Struthio camelus: one gene and its partners. The protein of the gene in region 1 purifies or fractionates together with the protein of each later gene. This does not show direct contact. Links are inferred from orthologs where the notes say so. Each region holds a gene or a part of one and is shown in the gene's direction. Other genes may lie near its edges.

Evidence for each region. Proteins that work in one complex are often made in the same cells at the same time.
Region 2: the proteins of BICRA (region 1) and SMARCA4 purify together in Homo sapiens (affinity purification with mass spectrometry; 4 studies listed by BioGRID and IntAct, with this or other methods). This does not show direct contact. The link is inferred for Struthio camelus from reciprocal best matches to the Homo sapiens genes BICRA and SMARCA4.
Region 3: the proteins of BICRA (region 1) and SMARCB1 purify together in Homo sapiens (affinity purification with mass spectrometry; 3 studies listed by BioGRID, with this or other methods). This does not show direct contact. The link is inferred for Struthio camelus from reciprocal best matches to the Homo sapiens genes BICRA and SMARCB1.

What each region holds. Positions count from the first base shown.
Region 1 is NC_090957.1:851,395-859,043, reverse strand, and holds the start of BICRA (BRD4-interacting chromatin-remodeling complex-associated protein), read left to right. Parts: upstream 1-4,632; 5' UTR 4,633-4,693; coding exon 4,694-4,873; intron 4,874-7,649. UniProt on the Homo sapiens protein: Component of SWI/SNF chromatin remodeling subcomplex GBAF that carries out key enzymatic activities, changing chromatin structure by altering DNA-histone contacts within a nucleosome in an ATP-dependent manner.
Region 2 is NC_090972.1:4,652,413-4,659,600, reverse strand, and holds the start of SMARCA4 (transcription activator BRG1), read left to right. Parts: upstream 1-4,172; 5' UTR 4,173-4,340; intron 4,341-7,188. UniProt on the Homo sapiens protein: ATPase involved in transcriptional activation and repression of select genes by chromatin remodeling (alteration of DNA-nucleosome topology).
Region 3 is NC_090958.1:9,548,318-9,556,130, reverse strand, and holds the start of SMARCB1 (SWI/SNF-related matrix-associated actin-dependent regulator of chromatin subfamily B member 1), read left to right. Parts: upstream 1-4,797; 5' UTR 4,798-4,953; coding exon 4,954-5,046; intron 5,047-7,670; coding exon 7,671-7,782; intron 7,783-7,813. Other genes in the region: MMP11 (stromelysin-3), read left to right, coding at 2,201-2,458, 3,382-3,515.

The sequences.
Region 1 (7,649 bases):
ATAGAAATAATGCTCTAACTTTACCAGTGAAAAAGCTCTGTTATCAGTATCACAGGCTTGGTCTGGCTGACAAAGCAGTCATCTAGAGCCTCCTGAATCATAGTAAAGTAATTCAGAAGTGGAAGAAAAATCAACTGAAAGTAAGTAGACTACACTGTTTTAAACTGGAATGGTACTGCAGCAACTACTGCTACTGCAGTCTAGTGGTTAAAGCAGGAATGGGCTACAGTGATATTAACAAACCTTTAAGGGTTCAGTCCTTGGTATTATTGCATTAAAAATAGTATGTAATTGTATTAGTCATCAGCAGTATATTTTAAGCAAGCTTAAATACCGGTGCTTGGTTTTTTGTTTTTTTTTTTATTACTCTGCTTTGTGTTTGGTTTGACAAACTTATCTTGAGAGTGAATTTTCAGGTCCGTATCAGTATAGAAAGAGCAATTAACTAGTACACTGCATGACGTGACTAAGATTTGAATCTATTTCTTACAATAGGCCAAGTTTTTACTTGGAATAGATTGGTGCATTTGCTGTATTCGTGGCCCTGTTACGTTTCACTCTACTAAAGGATCTGGCCTAATGTTAAGAAAGTAACAAGAGGCCGTCATCCTAGGGAGGGCTTCGTGGCCTGAAGAGTGCTGAACTGCACAATTCGGGAGGCTGAGGAGGGTTTGCTGCTTTGCCACAGTGCATCATTTGAGCTCCCCATGATAAAAGTTCCCTGTGGCTTCCTCTCGTACTTAACTGTATTGGCCGTGCTGTAAAAGTTTTTTGAGATCAGCTGACAAAAAGTGATGTCTAAGGGCAGCGTATTTGTATGTGAATAATTCTGTGGAAGTTAAAGGGTTTATCTAACTTGCCTCATTTTCTTTACTTTTGAACAGTGAAATTTAAAGACTAAATTTTCGTGCTGTATGTGAGGTACACCAAACTGAAGTCATCAAAGTCGCATCCATTTACTATAGCAGTGAATTTGACCCTTGCTTATTCAGAATAGCAGGATATAACTGTGGGGAAGCAATCTGTTACTCTAGTAAAGGTTGCCTAAAGTGTATAGGAAAGAAAAAAAATGGTTGTAGAATTAGCATAATAAGATTTAAAGATCTCTTACAATATTATTAACACTTCCCACTTGGAAATAAACCGTGTGCTTTAAGAGATCTGTTGATAGCAACATAGTTCAAACTAGCCTCTCTCTTTGAACAATCTTGTCCCATGGGTTACTCTAATTATCACTTACTGTGGCTTTCTGCCAAGATTTTTTTAGACATGGCAGACTCCACTGTATTTTTCCAGCGCTCTGGAATGGTATGGCGCAGCTAAAAGACAGAAAATATTCAAGTGTAAATGTGCCTTGTGTTACTTTAACATGTTTATAAGCGATATTCTTTATGGCGATTGGAATGTGATTATAGAGGGAGAGGTTTTTCATCTCCTTTTCCACACCTACTCCAATTATTTCGAGTTCCGAACTACTTTAGGAACCATTGCGTTGCCCTCTGTACTTCGTTAATGGCTCCTGATTAGGTTAGCTTTCAGCAGTTATCTGACAGGCTCATAGCAAGGCCACTTACAACCAGGAAATAATAATGATGATGCTGCCACTGAAGTGGCGGCGGCTGCCGCCGCTTCAAACTGCGGTCTCCTTCCTCTGTTAAACTGTCACTGCGCTCGGTTAGCACTGCACTTTTATAGTGTAATGCACCAAAATAAACCCCTCCATAGTCCCACCCAGGTATAAACAGAATGTATATCTAATTCAAATTCAACCAATCAAAGGGTATAAACAAAGTAGAAAGCCCTGCCTCTAGATTATTAATTACTCACACTGGTCAATCACATTTAACCTGTCTAATCAGGATGCAGGGTAATGCATCTGGCCCTTCCCATTTCTCTCTGAGCTGCTCCACTTTTGGCCAATCGGGAGCGGTGTCTCTTCCTCCGGCAGAACCAGTTTATAATTGGTATGTTGAGGACCCTTGGTTGAGCTGTGCTTTGTGCTGCCTGAGCACAGAGCCAGTTTAAGATTGTGCCTGAAAATGCACCAGCACTGAGCGTAGTCAGCACGTAAAATTAGTAATACTAATAAAAAAGATTGCTTGAGCATGAGCTTTCAGCATAGCTAGCTTCCCTGCCACCCAAGACAGTCTTAGGTTTTCTTGGCTGCTATGTCTTCACGATCAGTTATAAAAGTATGCTATTTTAAGTGCATAATATGTTGACATGACTTGCATTTTTATTTTTTTCGAACAATAATTGAGCCAAATTTGGCAAGTGTTTTTTTTGCCCGTGTTTAATGTTAGTAGAAAACAGTTTTAAAATGTTCCTCTTCAGCAGTAAATACTGAAGTTTTTTGTTTAAATATAACTTTCTCCTTTGTAAATAAATATTTAATTATATATATTAAATATTGTCTTTTGTAGCTTTAAAAAAAAAAGAAGAATGTTTTCAAGACCAAACCCAAAGTGGTATACCTGGAAGAAACTGCAGGCCTATAACAAATAATAAGGCATATACGTATCGCAAGTAAAATTCACTACTTCATTCCTGTTTTAATTCCAGCTCTTTCCTCAGCCAAGATTTAGGATGGTAAAAATTAGCTGGAGGAATTTATTTTATGGAAGTATGATTTATGCCTACTTAAAAATATAGAAAAGAAAATTTAAGGGAGAAAAAAATCATTATTTAAAGATGTAAATCACCTTAGTTACAGTTACGTTGTGTTTCTTCAGAGAAGTCAGCCATTTTGCTATGTCAATATTATTTCTTTTGATTAGTAGTAATACTGTTGTGTGCTTGTATGTGTTGTCTGTCCAGATGACACAGTAATGAGTGTGTATTAAAAATAATTGAGAACACTTTATTGGCTTATTTATCTGTGTCACTTGATTGTTCCCGCTATAAAAAATGAGGCGATTATAACTTAGAAAAAAAGGTCTCCTCAGAAATGTCTGTGGATCTTAGTCGTTACAGTTTTTGAAGTTGTATTCTCCTCCTTCCTCTGGATGTATTTTTTTCCTATATCAATCTCTGTGTCTTTTAGGAGGAAGAGATTTTTGCAAAATGTGCATACTGCAGATGTACCTTTAAAAATACTTAGATGTTTTAAACTAAAAAAAGTAATGTGCTGGTCCTGGCATTTCTGAAGTCTTGATGCTTAGGATTTGAGGTCCTAATCTTTTGATGCTCTCAAGGAGCTACTCAAACAGCAAGAAAAGAATAATTATTATCAAGTTTTAACACCTTCTCCCCCACCCACCCCTTCCTCAACAGGGCCTAAAACTGCTGCTAACGTACTGAGAGGAAAAACTCAATGGTCTTGAAAGGGTTGGTCTTAGAAGGTGCATTTATTCTTACCAAATAATAAGGGAGTGGGGGAAGGAATACTTATTTGAGGCCCATTTCTGAGGAGCTGGTAACCTTCATCCCTCATTGGAGATGGAACTGCCGGGTCCTTCCTACAGAGACAAAGGTTTTGAAATGTTTGTAGTTGATAACATTTTGAGAATGTGTGTTGAAATCCTGCTAGCCATTGTCAAGCTTTCCTGCACCCCATCAGACGGGTTTGCTGTGATGGTGGTTAGAGGATGCAGGACGCTGCCAGGGACCCACGGCCAGGGCCTGGTGCAGGCCATCTGCCCCTCGGTGGAACAAGCGTGATGAGAATGCGGTATTGAAAATGTTTGTAGTGCAGTGTCTGTCAGTCCTGGGCTGATTTGTGTTGCTAACGTATTTGAAGCGCTCTATAGTGCTGGCTGCATGCAGGACCTGAGAGGCTGCTAGTTTTAACATTTTCTCCATTTAATGAATGATACAGAAGCAGTTTTCTCTTTCAGTAAGCTCTTAAGTGGGCCAACAAGTTATAAAACGTTTTGAGTGCCAATTACACATGTTTATATTTTGGGAACTCGGTAGGTTTTAGTGTCCTCTGCAGTGTAGAGAATGATTTGTCTTGTCTTTCCTGAGCCATTTCCTGCTAATGTGGGATCTTGGGAACTGGAAGTAGGTTTGGTTTTTTGTTTTTTTTTTTTTCTCCTGCCTGTGACACATAATTCAGTCTGTGCAAGACTAGTGTACTTAGTGTACTTTTAAGCCTTCTGCATTTCCAGGTATAAACATACCTGGATGCAACTTAGTGGCCTGTGCTCCTTAGGAGACTGGAGGAGTACTGGGCCTTAAATGAAGTATAAGTTAAATGCATTTTTAAATTGTTCTAGTTTTGTTGCCTTAAGCTGCAACAATGTAGCCTAGTGAAGGTTCTGCTGCCTTTTTTATTTTTTTTAATTCGGGGTTACTGAATTTGGGGACTTTTTTTTATTTTTCCCCCTCTTTAATCCCACCCGGAAAAGAAAGGCGCACGTCACTGCTCCTAGTCGCGACACGGTGCCTGACGCCGGCTCGTGCGAGGGAGCCGGGTGGCCGGCGGGGCGGCCGGGGCGCGGGGCGGCGCGGCCGGGCCGGGCCCCTGCGCAGCCGCCCGCGGCCCCTCGGCGCTGCTGGCCGCCGCCGCCGCTCGCTCGGCTGCGGGGCTGTTTTGAAAGCGAGGGGTGGGGCGTCGCGCATGCAAATGCTGCCAAAGGGGTGGGAGCAAACGGGGGCGGGGGGGGGAGATTTTTTTTATATGTACGTAGAGGTGTGAGTAAAGTGGGTTTTTTTTCTTTCTTTTTTTTTTTTAAATTTTTTTGGGTAATAAATGCAGTTGCAGCCGAGCTCCCCGCTTGGCGGCCGGCGGCCGGCTCCTCGGCGGCGCCGCGGCGATGCAATCAGGCAGTGCGCTGAACCTCTATGTGTCTGTGCCTGCTGGGGTCCTGCCTCCGGAGCCCGTGCGGGGATGTCTCGGAGACCCCGCGCTGACTGCTGCTCAAACATCACGGTGAGTTTGTTACAATGTAGCAATTTCTCTTTAAATCTCTTAACTCTCTCTACCTGCAACTCAGGGCTGTGACAGGGCGAAAAAAACTGGGGGGGAGGGGGGGGAAGGGAACCCTGCCCCCCCCTCCCAGGGTAGCATCCCTGCTCCCTTTCCATTGCTCCCCCAATCCAGTTCCCCCCCAAACAGCCTCCCGTTGCTGCGTCTGCAGGTCACGTCTACAGGATACAATGTAGCTTTATAAAATGATACATAACCTCCTGCGGCTCCGTGCGCGGGCGGCGCGGGGGGGAAAGAGGGGCGCCGGGAGCCCCATTCCCAGCTCCCCGCAGCCTTCTGGATCACCCTTCTCGTCCCCACCTCCTCCCGAGCGAAGGGGGTGGGGGCTGTGGAAAGGAAAGGGAAGGGGGGAAAAAAAAAAAAAGCTGTTAGTTTGCAGTGTTGGATGGTTATGACTTGGTATTGCTATCTCGGTTGAGGTTATGAAGCTATCGTCTGACTGTTCTCTTCCCCCCTCCCCCTTGTCCACTCCTTCGCCCAAGTAAAAGACAGGGATGCCCTCGGATGGATCTTGCGCTCGATTTGAAAATAGACGTTTTAGTGTAGAAGCAGAGCAGAAGGTTTTCAGTGTCAGGATTAAGAGCCTTGATCTTCGTGGTCACTGCTCTGCAAGGCATTGCAAACGGTGCACAGGGGTTTGACATAGTAGTGTAAAAGCAAGTCTGAAGCTCCATTGAGTAAAGAAGACCTGCCAGCGATGCCCTATCCTCCCCTAACTCCCCTCTTAGGACATTTCAAACTTGTATTCTGGCCTTGTTCTACAAACCAGAGTTTGTCTACTCAGCACTGATTTATTAAGGAAAAAATACTGTACAATGTGATGTTTTGCAGATAAAAGTAACTAAATGAATTTTGATATCAAATGGGTACCTTATTATTTCTTATAGTTCTGAAGTTTTTTCCTCAGTGCATTAAAAATACATTAGCTGAATAAACTACGGTTCATTGCTCTTCAAATTCTCTTGTAGTTTTCATTTGTATACCGCTTAGAGCTTAAAGTTTAAGTAGTGAAAATATTTTCGTAGTGTTTTGGTTTTTCCTTTTTTGCGTGAATGATTCTGGACTTGTGGTTATGTTTTTGTTTTTGGGTTTTTCAGTTTCTTTGGATATTCAATTATAGCACACCGGCTTGTATTTCATAATCTTTCTTCTTTTCACCCTTTTGTTCACTGTAGCTTTGTATATTCTGCTTGTTGTCAAATCTGATAAATCTCTGTTGGCATTTAATACAGTATCTGGATGCCTGTACGTGCTGTTTACCATTATAACTTTTTTGTTTCACTGAAGAGTGGTAGCTGAACTTGTGGAGTATATATTTGATCCACAGTAAAACTGAGTTTTTTTCCAAAGCAGTTCAAATATACTGGAACTGAATGTCTTCTATTGACTCTTCCCATGTGATTGATACAAATGGCTTTGGTCAAAGTCATGTACTACTTGTACTACTCTCAGATGGTCTTTCTATCAGTATCAGTGGTACTTATCAAAACTGCCTGTTTAGTGTCAAGTATACGAGGAAAGGTTTCTGGCTATCTTTTGATGAAGTGTGGCGATGCACTGATTCAGTTCTGTGGGGTCAGAATGGGTATTTAAAATAAGATGTCATTTTTGTGCTGTTTTCCCATCTATTGATGTCTGTATTGAAATTTTCTATTTACATTTCAAAACTAAAAATATTTTAATTGTGTTCAGTTTTTTGATTATTAGACTAGTTGTGCTGATATTTGATTCTTCTAGAATTAGAAAAACAGAGTAATAGGGATAGCTTTATTCTGTTTGTTATTTAGCATAATTTGTTCCTAACATCAGAATAATAGACAGGTGGGTGATTCCTTTTAAAATGCCTGGGTTACCAAGTAGTTCATAGTAACAAATTTATGTATTTTTGCAGATTACATCATTTAGTATCAAAATTCTACGGTAGCCTCTACCTTCTGTTCTAGGAGGTCTTGCTGAAACAGATCATTCAATTATAACTAAGACTAACGCAACTTTCTGAATTGATCACATACAGCAGCTTTGAATTGCTGTCTTTCTCTCCTTGGGTTCCTCCCCCTTTCCCTTTTTAAAGAAGTGGGGGGGGGGGGGTTTGAAAGGAGTGTTCTGGTTCCAAAAAAGAAGAGAGGACTTGATCATTCTTGGCTGCTATTTTCAGGGCTGTAGTTTAGGCACATGTGGCATTTGCATGAATGCTCCTTAGCAGCAATTGAGTTCCAGTCTTTTGCCAAATATTATTTTGCTGCTTTGCCATTTGGTGCCGATCCACTACTTTGTGCCAAGTGGGAGCTGAAAGTTCACTATTTTCTTTTTGTTTTGTTTTGTTCCAGAAGTAAATGTATTTCTTATAGTAGACAGGAATGGTTGGACAAATCAAACTTAATTGGAAACACTAAAGCATGATATTTTTGTTATTTTATTTGGATCAGAATTATCGTAGCATCCCCTGTCTTAAAGTCAAACATATTCTTTATTTCAGAGCATTAATATGTGAAATTTTAAATGATACGCTTGTTTGAGCTCTTCTCCTTTTCACCTCCCCATCCCCCACACATACACACCTTGTGAAATATCCCCTGAGTAAGAGTATGGAGGCGAAAAGTAAAGAAATTCTGCAGTAGATTTTCTTTACAGGGTTAGAAGGAAAAATTCAGCACATAGAGAACACTACTTGTACAAATTCACGTTTTTTCTTCTGAAATAGTGGTTCAGATATTAGGAG
Region 2 (7,188 bases), on another chromosome or scaffold:
TTGTTTTACGCTTTCCCTCGCCGGAACGACGGCAAAACCGGCTGGGAAATCCTCACGGAAAATACCGAGCGTTGGCAGCTTTTTCCCGTCGTGCAAGCGCAGTGGGTTTTGAGTCTCCCCGCTTCTGCGCGGCGCCGTTCTTAGCCGCGAGCTTGTTTCCCCGCGGGGCGATCGTCCGCTTGGCGGGGTTTCGCTTCGAAATCCCTCCCTCCTCAGGGAGCCGGGCTGTCGCCCCCGATCCCGTAGCGGTCGGCCGGCCGCCAGGGCCGGGGAGGAGGAGGAAAAGGAAGAAAACCGACGGGCGCTGAAGGGGTCGGGCTGGCGGCGGCGCCGCATCGGTCCTGCGCCGACGGCAGCTCTGTGGCTTCAGGAGGGCAGGGAAAAACGCACATCTCCCACGTCGCCGTCAGCGGCTCCGCTTCGTTTATGCTCCTTTTAATTAAGAGTAGGATTTGAGACCTCCCCCCCCCCCGTTTTGTTTTTTTTTAACATCTCGAGCAAGGGCTTCAGCCCTCTCGGTGAAGGAAGGAGAGCGATTTTTGCTGCGAGACAGCAGAAATCAGCGGTCGCCCTTGCTGCAGCGAAAGCTAATTTTGGGGGGCGAAGCGAAGGGATCGCAAGGCGTTTGGCTCGCTCGGGAGTTTGCGGCCCGGAGGGGGCGTTCCGTGGCGATTTGTGCAGGTAAAACGTGGAAGTTCGGAGCTAGCTCCAAAACACGAGCCCCCTTTTTGGGAAGGGCCCTGTCCTGGCCCGTTGTACCTCCCTCGTCCGCTCGGTTTCATCGCCAGGTCGCAGTTTCTGTCCTTTCTCTCCGGCGTTTTTCCGTGCTGCCGAAGCAGGTGGTGTTCCCCCCCCCAAGGCCGCCTGCGGTGGTCCCGCGTGTCCTTTGCGGCGGCTCTACTTAATTAGCGTACGTTTAGCGAGCGCTTGGAGAGCCTGGAAGAGAAGGCAGAGCTTTACTTAGCAGCGGCCACCACCGTTGTCTTTGGGCTGTGGGCACGGCCAAGCCAGGCCAGATCCGGGCCCGACAGCAGGGCTCCTGCTGTTCCACCTCAACCCGCAGGAGACCTCAACCCGCAGGAGACCTCATCCTGCAGCACGTCCTGCTCCCCACGTCTCCCACTGTCCAACGCCACCTTCTCCCCGTGTCTCCCGCTCTCCAACCCTTCTCCCCGCGTCTCCCGCTCTCCAACCCACCTTCTCCCCGCATCTCCCGCTCTCCAACCCACCTTCTCCCCGCGTCTCCCACTGTCCAACGCCACCTTCTCCCCGTGTCTCCCGCTCTCCAACCCTTCTCCCCGCGTCTCCCGCTCTCCAACCCACCTTCTCCCCATGTCTCCTGCTCTCCAACCCTTCTCCCCGTGTCTCCCGCTCTCCAACGCCACCTTCTCCCCGCATCTCCCGCTCTCCAACGCCACCTTCTCCCCGCGTCTCCCGCTCTCCAACGCCACCTTCTCCCCGTGTCTCCCCCGCTCTCCAACCCTTCTCCTTGCGTCTCCCGCTCTCCAACGCCACCTTCTCCCCACGTCTCCCCCGCTCTCCAACCCACCTTCTCCCTGTGTCTCCCGCTCTCCAACGCCACCTTCTCCCCACGTCTCCCCCGCTCTCCACCCCACCTTCTCCCCGCGTCTCCCGCTCTCCAACCCACCTTCTCCCCACGTCTCCCGCTCTCCAACCCACCTTCTCCCCACGTCTCCCCCGCTCTCCAACCCCACCTTCTCCCCACGTCTCCCCCGCTCCAACCCCACCTTCTCCCCGCTCTCCCACCCCACCTTCTCCCCGCGTCTCCCCTGCTCCAAACCCATCTCTCCCCCCATGTCCCCTGCTCCCAGCCCCTTCCCCTCACAGACCCCCGGCCTGTGCCCCCTCACGAACCCCCTTCCTTCTTGGAACCCCTTTCCCTGGGCCTTGCCCCCTCGTGGACCCCCTCCCCTCGTGGATCCCTTCTCCTCACAGTCCCCTCCCCTCGTGGACCCCTTCTTTCATGGATCCCCTTCCCTCGTGGACCCTCTTCCCCAGGCCTTGCCCCCCCGTAGACCCCTTCCCTTCATGGACCCCCTTCCCTTCATGGACCCCCTCCCCTCGTGGACCTCTTCCCCAGGCCTTGCCCCCTCGTAGACCCCTTACCTCATGGACCCCCTCCCTCAGAGACCCTTTTCTTCATGGACCCCCTCCCTCATGGCCTTCCTTCGTGGACCCTCTTCCCTCATGGACCCTCTCCCCTCGTTGACCCTCTTCCCCAGGCCTTGCCCCCTCCTGGACCTCTTTCCTCATGGACCCCTTCTCTCATGGACCCCCTCCCTCAAAGACCCCTTTCCTTCATGGACCCCTCCCCTCGTGGACCCCTCCCCTCATGGACCCCCTCCCCTCGTGGACCCCTTTCTTCATGGACCCCCTCCCTCAGAGACCCCTCCCCTCTCATGGACCCCTCCCCTCATGGACCCCTCCCCTCATGGACCCCCTCCCCTCGTGGACCCCTCCCCTCGTGGACCCCCTCCCCTCGTGGACCCCTCCCCTCATGGACCCCCTCCCCTCGTGGACCCCTTTCTTCATGGACCCCCTCCCTCAGAGACCCCTCCCCTCTCATGGACCCCTCCCCTCATGGACCCCCTCCCCTCATGGACCTCTTCCCTCATGGACCCCTCCCCTCGTGGACCCCTTTCTTCATGGACCCCCTCCCTCAGAGACCCCTCCCCTCTCATGGACCCCCTCCCCTCATGGACCTCTTCCCTCATGGACCCCTTCCCTTGTGGACGCTCTTCCCCGGGCCTTGCCCCCTCCTGGACCCCTTCCTTCATGGACCCCTCCCCGACCCCCTCCCCTCCTGGACCCCCTCTCTCAGAGACCCCTCCCCTCTCATGGACCCCTTTCTTCATGGACCCCCTCCCCTCATGGACCCCTTTCCTTCATGGACCCCTCCCCTTGTGGACCCCCTCCCTCAGAGACCCCTCCCCTCTCATGGACCCCTTCCTTCATGGACCCCTCCCCTTGTGGACCCCTCCCCTCATGGACCCCCTCCCCTCATGGACCCCTTTCTTCATGAACCCCCTCCCCTCGTGGACCCCCTCCCTCAGAGACCCCTCCCCTCTCATGGACCCCTTCCTTCATGGACCCCTCCCCTTGTGGACCCCTCCCCTCATGGACCCCCTCCCCTCATGGACCCCTTTCTTCATGAACCCCCTCCCCTCGTGGACCCCCTCCCTCAGAGACCCCTCCCCTCTCATGGACCCCTTCCTTCATGGACCCCTCCCCTTGTGGACCCCTCCCCTCATGGACCCCCTCCCCTCATGGACCCCTTTCTTCATGAACCCCCTCCCCTCGTGGACCCCCTCCCTCAGAGACCCCTCCCCTCTCATGGACCCCTTCCTTCATGGACCCCCTCCCCTCATGGACCCCCTCCCCTCATGGACCTCTTCCCTCATGGACCCCTTCCCTTGTGGACGCTCTTCCCCGGGCCTTGCCCCCTCCTGGACCCCTTCCTTCATGGACCCCTCCCCTCGTGGACCCCTTCCTTCATGGACCCCCCCGACCTCCCCCCTCGTGGACCCCCTCTCTCCCTCCCCCCGACCCCTCCCCTTCGCCGCAGTGGCGCGGCCAGTGCGCATGCGCGGAGGGAGGGGGGGAGCCGCCGTCAGCGCCGAGCGGGCGGCACGCGGCACGCGCCTCGCTCGCCCCGCCCCCCGCCTCTCCTCCCGCCACCCCATTGGCTGCGGCGGGGATGGAGCCAGCGCCGGGGCAGGTTGCGCAGCGCCGATTGGCTGCAGCGCGCGCGCGCGCGCGCGGGCGGGCGGGCGGGCGCGCGAGATAGGAAAGCGGGGAGGGGGGGGGCCTGTGGGGTCTCTCCCATTGGCTGCCTCGCCGAGCGGTAGTGGGCGGGCCTTCCCCCCCTCCTCCCAGCCGGCTGGTCCCCGCCTCATTGGCCGAAGAGCGTGCCTGCCGCCCCTTCTCACCAATAGGAGGCGCGCTGCTGAGGAGCGGGTTCTCCGCGCTGCCATTGGCTGTCGCGGGGAGGGGGGCGGGCGCACGCCGGCTCTCCGCTGCCCTCATTGGCTGCGCTGGCGGAGGGGGCGGGTGAAGTGCGCAGGGGGCGGTGCGCACGGAGGCGGGGAAGGGGAGGGAGAGAAGCCGAGCCGGCGCGCATGCGCGCTGCCTGCCTGCCTGCCTGGGGGGGCGGGGTGGGGGCGCGCGCGGGCGGCGGGGGAGGCGCGCGCGCGCGGCTCGCGCTCCCTCACACACGGCGGCGGCAGCGGCGGCGGTGGCGGCTCCTTTGTTCCCGCCGCGCCGCGCCGCGGGCTCGGCCGCCCCGCCGGGTATGGACCCTGCCGGCGGCGACCAGCGCGGTAAGGGCCGGCGGGGGCCTGTCACGGCGCCCGGGCCGGTCCCTCACTGAAAGGGACCGGCGGGGTTGGGGGGGGGGGGAGGGAAGACGCTGTGGGAGGTGGGGGGGGCGCGCTACGGCGGCCCCGGAGGGTCACGCGAGCTCGGCGTCGCGCTCCCGCCCATTGTTCGGGGCTGGGGGCGGGGGGGGGGGGAGGCGGTGTGGGAGCGGTCTCTCCCTTCCCCCCCCCCCAACCCGCCTCAACGAGCGCTCACCGGTTCCCCCCCCCTCCCAAACATCATCATCATCATCATCATCCCTCCTTCCGTGGGGCCTTTGCATTCCCGGCGCCCTTTCCACCTGGCATCGCTGCTCCCCCTCTCCCCCCCCCCCGGTTCATCTCCCCCCCTCCCCCAACCTTCATCGTCCTACCTGCATCCCTTCCTTTCATCGACCCCCCCCTTCCATCAACTCCCCCCCCCCGCACCCCCGACCCCTTCCATCAACCCCCCCCCCGCACCCCCGACCCCTTCCATCAACCCCCCCCCCGCACCCCCGACCCCTTCCATCAACCCCCCCCCCCGGCACCCCCGACCCCTTCCATCGACCCCCCCCCGCACCCCCGACCCCTTCCATCGACCCCCCCCCGGCACCCCGACCCCTTCCATCGACCCCCCTCCCCAGCAACCCCGACCCCTTCCATCGACCCCCCTCCCCAGCACCCCCCACCCCTTCCATCGACCCCCCTCCCTGGCATCTCCTACCCCTTACTGACCCCCCCCTTTTCATTACCCCCCCCGCGTCCCCCCCTTTTCATTACCCCCCCCGCGTCCCCCCCTTTTCATTACCCCCCCGCGTCCCCCCCTTTTCATTACCTGCCCGCGTCCCCCCCTTTTCATTACCTGCCCGCGTCCCCCCCTTTTCATTGTCCCCCTGCATCCCCCCTGCATCCCCCGCTTTGATTGTCCCCCCCGCATCCCCCCTTTCATTGTCCCCTCCCTTCAGCACCCCTCTGCCTCCCCTCCTTTCATCACCCCCCCGCATCCCCTTCTTTCAGCACCCCCCCAGGCCCCCAGCCCCCCCATCCTCCCCCTCTGCAGCCTGCTTCAGCATCCTTCCACTGTAGCCTTTCCCCCAGCGCCCCCCTCCTTTCAGCCCCCCCAGTGCCCCTCCTTCCAGGCATCCCCCCCCCCAGTTCCCCTTCGGGCTCCCCCCTCTTGCAGCCCTCCCTCCGCTCTCCCCTTCTCAGCCTCCTTCCTGCAGGCCCCCCCCCCCCAGCTCTTGCAGCCCTCTTCCCCCCCACCCCCAGCGTGGGGGGGGCTCTGCCCCCCAGCTCCCCACCCCGCCTCCCCCCTGCCCCTCGCTCAGCGGCAGCCTGTGCTGCTGGCAGGTTGGGTGATGGGGGTCAGGGACGCCGCAGTGCCCCCCCCTCAGCCCCCCGTCAGCATCTCCCTTCAGCAGGGTCGGTTGCACCCCCTCCGCCCCATCCGTTTCCCCGCAACCTGCCGAGCATTCGCTGTCCCCCAGCGCTGTCTCCCGGGGGGGGATCCGTGTCGCCCCCTCCTTTACGCCCCCCTTTGGCATCCCTTCTCCCCCGCTTTGTGGGGTGCTGCCCGTCCTCTGGAGCACCCGTCTTCCCCGGGGCATTTCCCCTCCCGTCGGCAGGGCCCCCGTCCTGCGTCCCTGAGCGTCCCTGTCCCCCCTCCCCGGAGCGTCTCCCCTTTATTGCTCCTCCTCTCCCCGTCGCTCTGCTGTTTGTCCTTCTGGAGGACGCCGTTTCTCCACCCTGTGAGATCCCCCTCGTCCCACCTTACTGCCCTTCTCCTGCCCTCCAGCTTCTCACGCCGGGCCAGCACCCCTCACTCTTTATACCCTACTGCCCCTTCCCGGCTTCTGTCTCTTCCGTTGTGGCTTCTTCCTCCCGTAGCTGCGTTTTTGTGGCGCCGTCTGGGTTTCAGCACCAGCTTCCCTGGTCTCCAAGGGATCTGCTCCTCGTTCTGCACCTCCTTCCTGAAATACTGATAGCAGCGTCCCCCCCCACCCCGTCCGCGAGCAGTGGCCCTCTGCCGTCGCTCTCATCCTGTCCTCAGGTCGCCTGCTGCCCCCTCCCTGCTCTCCACCCCTAAAAATTAATCTGCCTTTTGCCCCCTTCCTGGGGGGGCTGCGATGCAGAGGGGTTATTGCATCCCTCGGGCTGACGGCATCCGGGCTGCATCCTCTGGCGCCCGAGCTGGTGGCCGAATCTGTGTATTCGCGCTGCCTAGGACAAAGCCAGGGGATGAAATCTGTCTGCCCTGGCTTCGCAAGAAGCTGCCCCGGCCTCCCGTCTTTGTGGCAGCGCGCCCTGTCCGTACGCGAAGGTTGGTCTCCTGCGCCGGCCAGAGGGGGATCGAGCCTTCCCTGCTGGCCGCCCCCGGCACAAAGCCCGTCCTGGCGTGAGCCGCGGCGAAAGAGAGCCGCCCCAGGGTGCTACGGAGGGTTTTTCGCGGCGCTCGGGTGCAGCCGCCCCCTCCTTGCTGCCCAAAAGCCCCTGCAGGAGCCTCCTCCCCCCACCCTCAGCCACCCCGCCGGAGGCACTCAAAGCACGTTGAAGCCCGGAGTGTCTTAATGCGGTTGCGGCCCCGTCGAAAAGGCGGGGGACGCGCGCTCGTGTCCCCCCAAGCGGAGGGGCTCGACTCCCCTCTCTCCTCCGCTGTGTTGTGCGTGGCGGCGGCGGTGGGGGGGGGGTTCGTGTCCCCGCTGCCGGCTGCGCGGCCTTTGGCGGCGACGTCTTTTGTTATGAGCCGGTGTCTTTCTCCCGGGCTGTAGCGCTGGTCTGTAACGACTGTTCCCCCACCGCGTCTCGGCGACAGAGGCGCGGTGGGGGGGTT
Region 3 (7,813 bases), on another chromosome or scaffold:
ATATTGAGCGGGGGAGATAGAAGGAGGGGTCACTTATTTTAGACACAGCCAGGATATTCTCCTCCTTTGGAAAAAGAACAGTTGTTTTCTTTGAGCCTCTACCCTGGCAATGCTGCTGGCAGCAGAGGATGAAGGAAATGCTTGCTTTCCCTTGTGGATGGAAACAGGAGGAAGAAAAAGGCAGGTTCATTGCCATCCTCAGTCACCAAGAATTAGTGATAGGCTCAGGTATTGCAGAAAAGAGTGCTGGAAATCCACCTTCTTCCCAGAGTTGGTAGACTGTTAGTGCTTTTCCATCAGCGTGGGTCTCGACCTCTCTTCTGCATGGTGCATCCACCACATTACTCCTGATTCTTGCCCATCCTAGTGACACGGGTCAGACCTGAGCCTAGTCAGCTCCTCTTATAGCCCAGATTCCCCCCATATGGCAGGGTCCTGTTCCAGTTCAGGGCTGGTACAGAGCAGAGGCAGACCCTGACCTGTATGACTGCTACAGTAGACTGGATTGCCATGGGGGCAGCCCACCTGGTCTCTGGCCATCCTGCAACAGCACCTCCATCCATCCAACATACAGTGCAAAATGCACTCTGATGCAGTATGGACTGGATTTTCATGATCCTGTTGGTTCAGGTGTGGGAATAGAAAGTCTTTCCTGCAACAGAGTCCTCTGCAAGGAGCAGACGAGCATCAGCCATTGTACCTCCAGCAGCCCCAGGTTGAAGGGAGACAGGAACCAACATCACTACTAGACACTCTACAAGCTCCAGGAATCTTCTCAGCTGCCCTGGGAAGTACTGTGCAAGAAAGAGGCCCCAAACATAGTTTTACAGGTTGCCACAGCTCCTGAGCTTGGTGCCCAGAGGCCTTGCTCAGGAGAGGGACACCATCTTTCCTACTCCTCAGGGGCCTGGATGGAAAGTGCATGTCATCCCAAGGCTGAATTAGCCTACAGAGAGCCTGCGTGCAGAGCTAGGCCATCTCCAGCCACTGCAGGGGTTAAAAACCAATCGCTCATGAAACAGCCAAACTTCCTCCTAGCCATTTCTGAAGCCCAAGACCAGCAACAATCCCTGTTTCAGCTTCACTGTTTTCTTTAATGCTCTTTCCCAGTGCAAATTTAACAGAGAGGATGCAGGATTACATAGCTACCTGGCTGCCCTGTGTGTGCATGCCCCATCTGTGCACTGTGAGATCAAGTACTGGAAAACGCACCAAGCAGCTCTGCAGGCAGCGTTATTGCATAAGCAGATTACCTAGCACCTGACCTGCAGACAAGGGTTTACAGTGCTAAAATTGGCAGGCTCCTACCACGAGTTAAAATGAGATAAAGAAAAAGTATTACATGCTGCAGGGTAATTATAGAGATTCCCATTTTAACCTGAACTGGAAATATTATCAGTTTGGCAACCTCTTGCTGGTTTATGTAGCTCGCTCCTTCAGAGCCACATGCCCCCCTTATGCCTGTGCATGCTCACATATGTTCTCCTCTAAGAGCAGGGCTTGGAGGGTAAGTACAGGTCCCTCCCACTCTACCCTGTGCACAGATTTGGCATACAAGCAATATGCCCCCTGTCCAGTCAGAGGATGACCCATTTTTCTTCTTTCCTCCCACCCAACAGCACCAGGCTTCACAGCATAGGTGTCAAAGGAATCAACGTTCACCCTGTCAATCTCTACAGCTTTGTAAATTGTTTTATCCAACAATGGGTTTTGATCCTCCTTCGGCATAACCAGAGCAAACTCAAAGCTCAGGGCTTTGATCCACTGCCCAAACGCCTACTTGAAAACTACAACCAGACCCAGCTGACTGGAGCAGCTTGAGAGAAATACGCCCTTCCACATGCGTGCAGGGCTCTCCACAGTGATAAGCCTATGAGAAAACAGGCTGGGCAGCTGGATAGCTCAAATACAAAGCCAAATCGTTTATTACAACTTCCATAAATAGAAAAAAAAGACAGCTGTGAAAGCAGTCTTCCTCATCCTACCCTCTGGGCTGGAGAGAGGTGGGAATTCAGCTCCTTGCGCTCCTAGGCTTCAGGTGCCTGTCAGTGACAGTGTTTGTGACAGTGATGGGATTTCTCCTCTCTCCTTTGCCTGGGAGCTCTGCCAAGGCACCGCTCCCAGTTGCACAGCTCACTGCTGAGTTATCAGATACTAAAGAGTTTCTGAGCTTTGTCTCCCTTTTCTGCCTTCTCGCCAGACTCTCGGTACTGGATTTATGAAGGTGAAAGACGGGTTTCTGGCCCTACCCCTATTGCGGAGCTGGGCCTCCCTGCTTCCCCTGTCCAGGCAGCTTTGGTGTGGGGGGCTGAGAAGAACAAGATCTACATCTTCAGCGGAGGCAACTACTGGCGCTTCAACCCTCATACCCGTCAAGTGGACAACATCTACCCTCGGACCATGGCTGACTGGCGTGGCGTCCCTCAGGAGACTGATGCTGCTTTCCAAGATGAGTTTGGTCAGTGCCAGAAGGGACAAGGCCTGCTCTGGGGTGGTCTTTCAGGCTGACCTCGCTTCCCAGCTGGAAGAACTGGGCAGATTTAGATGCTTAATAATAATGGACATTTTCCAGCCATTGCACATGATATACAGTGTATGGAGAGCAAGGCAGCTCCCTCCAGTGGGGAGGGAACTGAGGCTTCTCTCACTGAAGTAGCAAGCCTTGTAATTATTAATTGCAAAAATTAGTTAACAGCTATGCATCTGATAGAGAGAATTCAAACTTCTCACAAAGAAATATTCATGGAGTCTTGCCCAGCTGCTACCACTTCCCACAGAGGAAGAGATGAGATGTCACCAGAACCGCTGCCCACATTTCAGCCTAGGTAGCTGTCCTGAATGAGCAGGCTGCTTCCAGTATTAGCTAGTCCTCCCAGAGGTGTCCCATGCAGTGCCACAGATACACTGGGTGCTTGGGATGACGGCTGTGCAACTCCCTCTCTCCCAAAGGATGTGGTGGAATAACTCACTGGTGCTTCCAGTAATGACCTAAAATCCCAGAGAAATTTCCCTACGGTAACAGATACTCTTTAGCAGGTCTTCACAAACTCCCTTCCATCGGTCCTGTTCAGATCCTAAACTCCCTCTGCCCTTCCAGGGCTAGGCTACTACACTGGCACAGCATATTTAAAATCACCCAATATGTAAAATAAAATCCATCCTGTTTGCTCTTCCATCAAAACTAAAGCCATGTGAAAGAACAGTGCAAGTCACAAATCTGGAAAAGGCTGAAGATGCAGCTAGATTCATTTCACTTGAATCCAGGCTCTCTTTTAGTACTCCACATCCCATGTGCTGTGGTGCATCAGCAAAACAAAATGCTAGGAAAGAGCTGAGCTGTGTGGGCCTTGTCTTTCCTAACCCTTTATCTCCCATCTACAGGTTTTGCCTATTTCCTGAGAGGCCAAGATTACTGGAAATTTGACCCAGTCCAGGTGAAAGTGCTGGAGGGTTACCCACGCCAGATCAGCCAGGACTTCTTCAGCTGCACACCTTCCTCCAACTCCTTCCGATGAAGAGGGGGATGCTCACGTCCTCCACATTTCCCTCTCATCTCCTTTATCTCCAGCAGCCACACAGACACAGGGTTCTCGCTGCCACTCCTGGCTTCCTTTAAGGCTCAGCATCTGATACAACTGATGCCTGTCACAAGTGACAAAGGTTGCTCCTCTCCAGTTCCAGCAGCCTCCAAAATAAAGTGTCTGGCACATTCTCTACAAACAGAGCAGCCACTAAACTGCTAAAGTGGCCAAGCTCTTCCAACAATGGCATCCCAAAAGCCTTTGAGCAAGCCTGAAATGGGATCAGGCTTTCCTAATTAACCTGGACCCTATCATGTTAAACTGATCTGGTGGTATTTCCTATGTTTACATTGCTCACAGTAGCATCCCATTTGCTGTTCCAGACATTGGCCTCAGAGGAAGGATTCCACTGAGATGCCTTCCTCACCCTTAGCCAGGGAGTTTTACGGACACTGACTGCCTATGGAGAAATTCAGACGTGTAGCCATGTTGCCAGGGTCACTTCACCACAGCTGCAATGGTGAATACCAATACCCTGTCACAGCTCTACTCTTGGTTTTATGTTGTATCACTAGTATGCGTTAGAATTTTATACTGTTTTGTAAATAGACAATGTGCCTCCTTCCTTCCAAGACGCTAGGTTTCAGTGCTGGTCACTGCCCTATTGCTCCGTATGTTCTTTTTAAGTTAGGTTCCTGGTATTAGGTTGCTCATTACCGCACTGATGGGTCTCGTCCCACTCACTATTTCCAGCAGACAGGTCCATCCGGACACCATTCCGACAATGCACAAGCCTCAGTTCAGCTCTTTGCACATGCTACACAGCAGTATGGGGAGGAAAGAAAAAAAAAAAAAAAAGGGAAAGGGTCTCTTCCTTTCAAACTCGCGACCCACTCACGCGCCTCACCGCCCCCTCCTCCCTGGGGGACGAAAGGAAGACAGCCGTTCAGCTCCGCGCCGCCCGGGGGCCGAGGACGGCGCGGGGAAGCCCCCGGCCCGGCCGCTCCGCGCTTGCACGACGCGCACGACCCCCGCGATATATACTGTGTATATATTTGTGTACTGTGCTGTACCAATAAACCGGCCTCCTGCCCAAGCGCCGCCTGCCTCGCCCTGCCTCGCCACCGGCTCCCGCGGCGGAGCGTTACCTCAACGCGCGACCGTTAACGGCTGCCGCCGCCGCCCCACCCCCTCCTCAGGGACCGCCCTCCCCTCGCGGTGAGGCGGCAACGGCCGCGCGCGGCCTCTTTCGCCGCGCGCGGCGCCTTTAAGGCCCGGCCGGCGGGGGCGGGGCGCCCCGGCGCATGCGCGAGGCGGCGCTCGGACTAGGCCGCGGCGCTGCTCGTCGTTGCCGCCGCCGCTGCCGCCGGCTCTCGCGCTCGCCCCGCTCAGGACCGCGGCGCTGCCGCCGCCGCCCCGCGCCGCCGCCACGATGATGATGATGGCGCTGAGCAAGACCTTCGGGCAGAAGCCCGTCAAGTTCCAGCTGGAGGAGGACGGCGAGTTCTACATGATCGGCTCCGAGGTGCGGCGGGACGCGCGGCCCCGCGCACAATGGCCCGGGCGGGGCAGGGCGGGACTCGGCCCTGGGGGGGGCGGGGGGATGTCAGGGGAGGTATAGGGGTGGGTTGGGGGGATGGTCGGGGGGTGGGGGGCGCCGGGCTCGGTGGAGGCCCGGGGGGCCCAGGGGGAAGTTATGGAGGTGGCCGGACTCGGGGGGGGGGTTGTGGGGAGCTGGGGGGGGCTGAGCTCGGAGGGGCCGCTCTGGGGAGCTATAGGGGTCCGGAGCTCGGGGGGGGGGTTGGGTTTGGAGAGGGAGGTGGGCTGTAGGAATCTATAGGGGGTCCCCGGCTGGGGGGAGTGGGGAGCCGTGGGGGAGTCCTGAGCTCAGGGGGAGTCATGGGGGGGCTGGGCTGTGGAGAGTCTGTAGAGAGCTATGGGGGGCTGGGCTGGGGGGAGCTATGGGGGATGGGCTGGGGGGGGTCTAGGCTCAGGGCTGGGGGGAGCTATGGGGGATGGGCTGGGGGGGTCTAGGCTCAGGGCTGGGGGGAGCTATGGGGGATGGGCTGAGGGGCTGCGGGGAGCTATGGAGGGTGGGCTCAGGGGTCTGGGCTCAGGGCTGGGGGGAGCTATGGAGGGTGGGCTCAGGGGTCTGGGCTCAGGGCTGGGGGGAGCTATGGAGGGTGGGCTCAGGGGTCTGGGCTCAGGGCTGGGGGGAGCTATGGAGGGTGGGCTCAGGGGTCTGGGCTGGGGGGCTGCGAGGAGCTATGGAGGGTGGGCTCAGGGGGTCTGGGCTCAGGGCTGGGGGGAGCTATGGAGGGTGGGCTCAGGGGTCTGGGCTGGGGGGCTGTGAGGAGCTATGGAGGGTGGGCTCAGGGGTCTGGGCTCAGGGCTGGGGGGAGCTATGGGGTCTGGGCTGGGGGGCACTATGGAGGGTGGGCTCAGGGGGCTGGGCTGGGGGGAGGGAGCATGGCAGGGCTGGGCTCAGAGTAGGGCAGGGGCTATGGGGTGCCTGCTCGCACCTGGGGGGAAGTGACATGAGGGCTCCCGGAGGGGGAAGTCTGTGCCATGGGAGCTCGTGGTGAGGCTCGCGCAGGAGAGGCCTAGGAGTCTCCCCTTGCACCCCGGGAGGGGATCCTGCCCAGCGTGGTGCTGCCAGCCCTGCAGGTCCTCTCCGCTGCGCGCGCTGGCGGCTGTTGCGCGGGCAGCAGTTTGGGCTCTCAGCGGTCGAGCTGGGGCATCTCACCTTTGCTGGGGTCAGCGCTCCCAGCAAGGGCGGCTCTCACAAGTCACACGTGTCTGTGTACATCACGGAGTATAGAGGCTGGTTCCTCTGTGGGTCACAGCCTTGGGCCCCAGTATTATGTCCTGCTCCCCTCTGCTTGAGAGTTGCTGAGCTTTATGGCCTGATGCTCTAACTTGTGACATTTTTGTAGCGTGCTTGTTCGAACATTTGGGATTATTTCAGATGCTCTGAGGTGATTTAAGTCAACATCTAGGCCTTTATGCTTAGTAATAACAACAGCATCAGCCAGTGCAGCCTCTTCAGCCTTGTGTAGAATTTCAGCACCCCAGTGTATTTGCAGAAATGGTATTCTCTCGTGGTGAGAGGCTGCTTCTTGAAGGCTGGACTTAGTGAAGCAAGAAGCAGAGAAATGATTACAGTTGGAAAAGAACAGGAAAAGATGTAGGACAAGAAATCTTGGATAACTTAAATTGTCAACTGTACATGTTGAGCAGGGACTCAAGATCACTCACTCTCTTGAGAGCGTGTGAAATGTTTCCTAGAAGAACTGTAACTGCAGTCAGCAAATCTGCGAGTTTGCAATACCAGATGTGTGCAAGGGGAAAAGAGAGTTGCCTTTTTATGTACAAGCTAATTTCTGTCTGTTGATGAGTCCTGTAGAGAAACAGATAAGATTAACAATTATCTGAAATTAGATCTTAGGACCAAAACGAGTCTTGAAAAACAAACCTTGTTGTGTGGCAGTCCGCAAGTATATTGCCAGTCTAAAATTTTAGTTTTGTAGTCTAGAAATAGTACTTTAGCAGATCTTGGTGTAGCTTTCAGTGTGGGTGTGAATCTTGCACCGAGGGAAAATGGAACTGCTTTACAGATGCCAAGTAAATTTGAGAGAGGATTGTTGTTAGTGTTCATGTTCTATATGTTCAAAGAATTTTAAATAAAACACAAGGCAAGTCTCTGGGCTTTGCTATATCCAAGTGATATCTGGATGGCACAGAGGTTCAAAGTAAAAATAATATTGTTGGACAGCTAGGTATCTGGTTTGATGTAATTTCTAATGAGCATTGTTCATTGGAACAGCAACTGGAGTAGAGGAAACATTAGACTGTTCAAAAATACATGAAAATGAATGGGTTTTCCTATTAAATGGATTATTGTCGATGGATGAGAGTTTTTTCTTATCAGACTAGTGAAATAAATGCTGATAAAAGCTTTTTCTGTATTGCTGCAAAAATTGGGCTATATGCTATATGATGAGCCTTTTGGCAAAAAACCAAAACAAATACATCTTCTCTAGAGGTCCCAGTTGTCATTACCAAGTCCTGAATTTGCTTCGGGTTCTGCTAAATATCTTTCTAGACGGAACGTATTTCCAGGCCGTGTCTCCCCATTCCTCCTTGTAGGTGGGGAACTATCTGCGTATGTTCCGAGGTTCCCTGTACAAGAGATATCCCTCACTGTGGAGGCGACTAGCCACAGTGGAAGAGAGGAAGAAGATAGTGGCATCTTCACACGGTAAGAAGATGAGTAAACATTCCCAGTACTG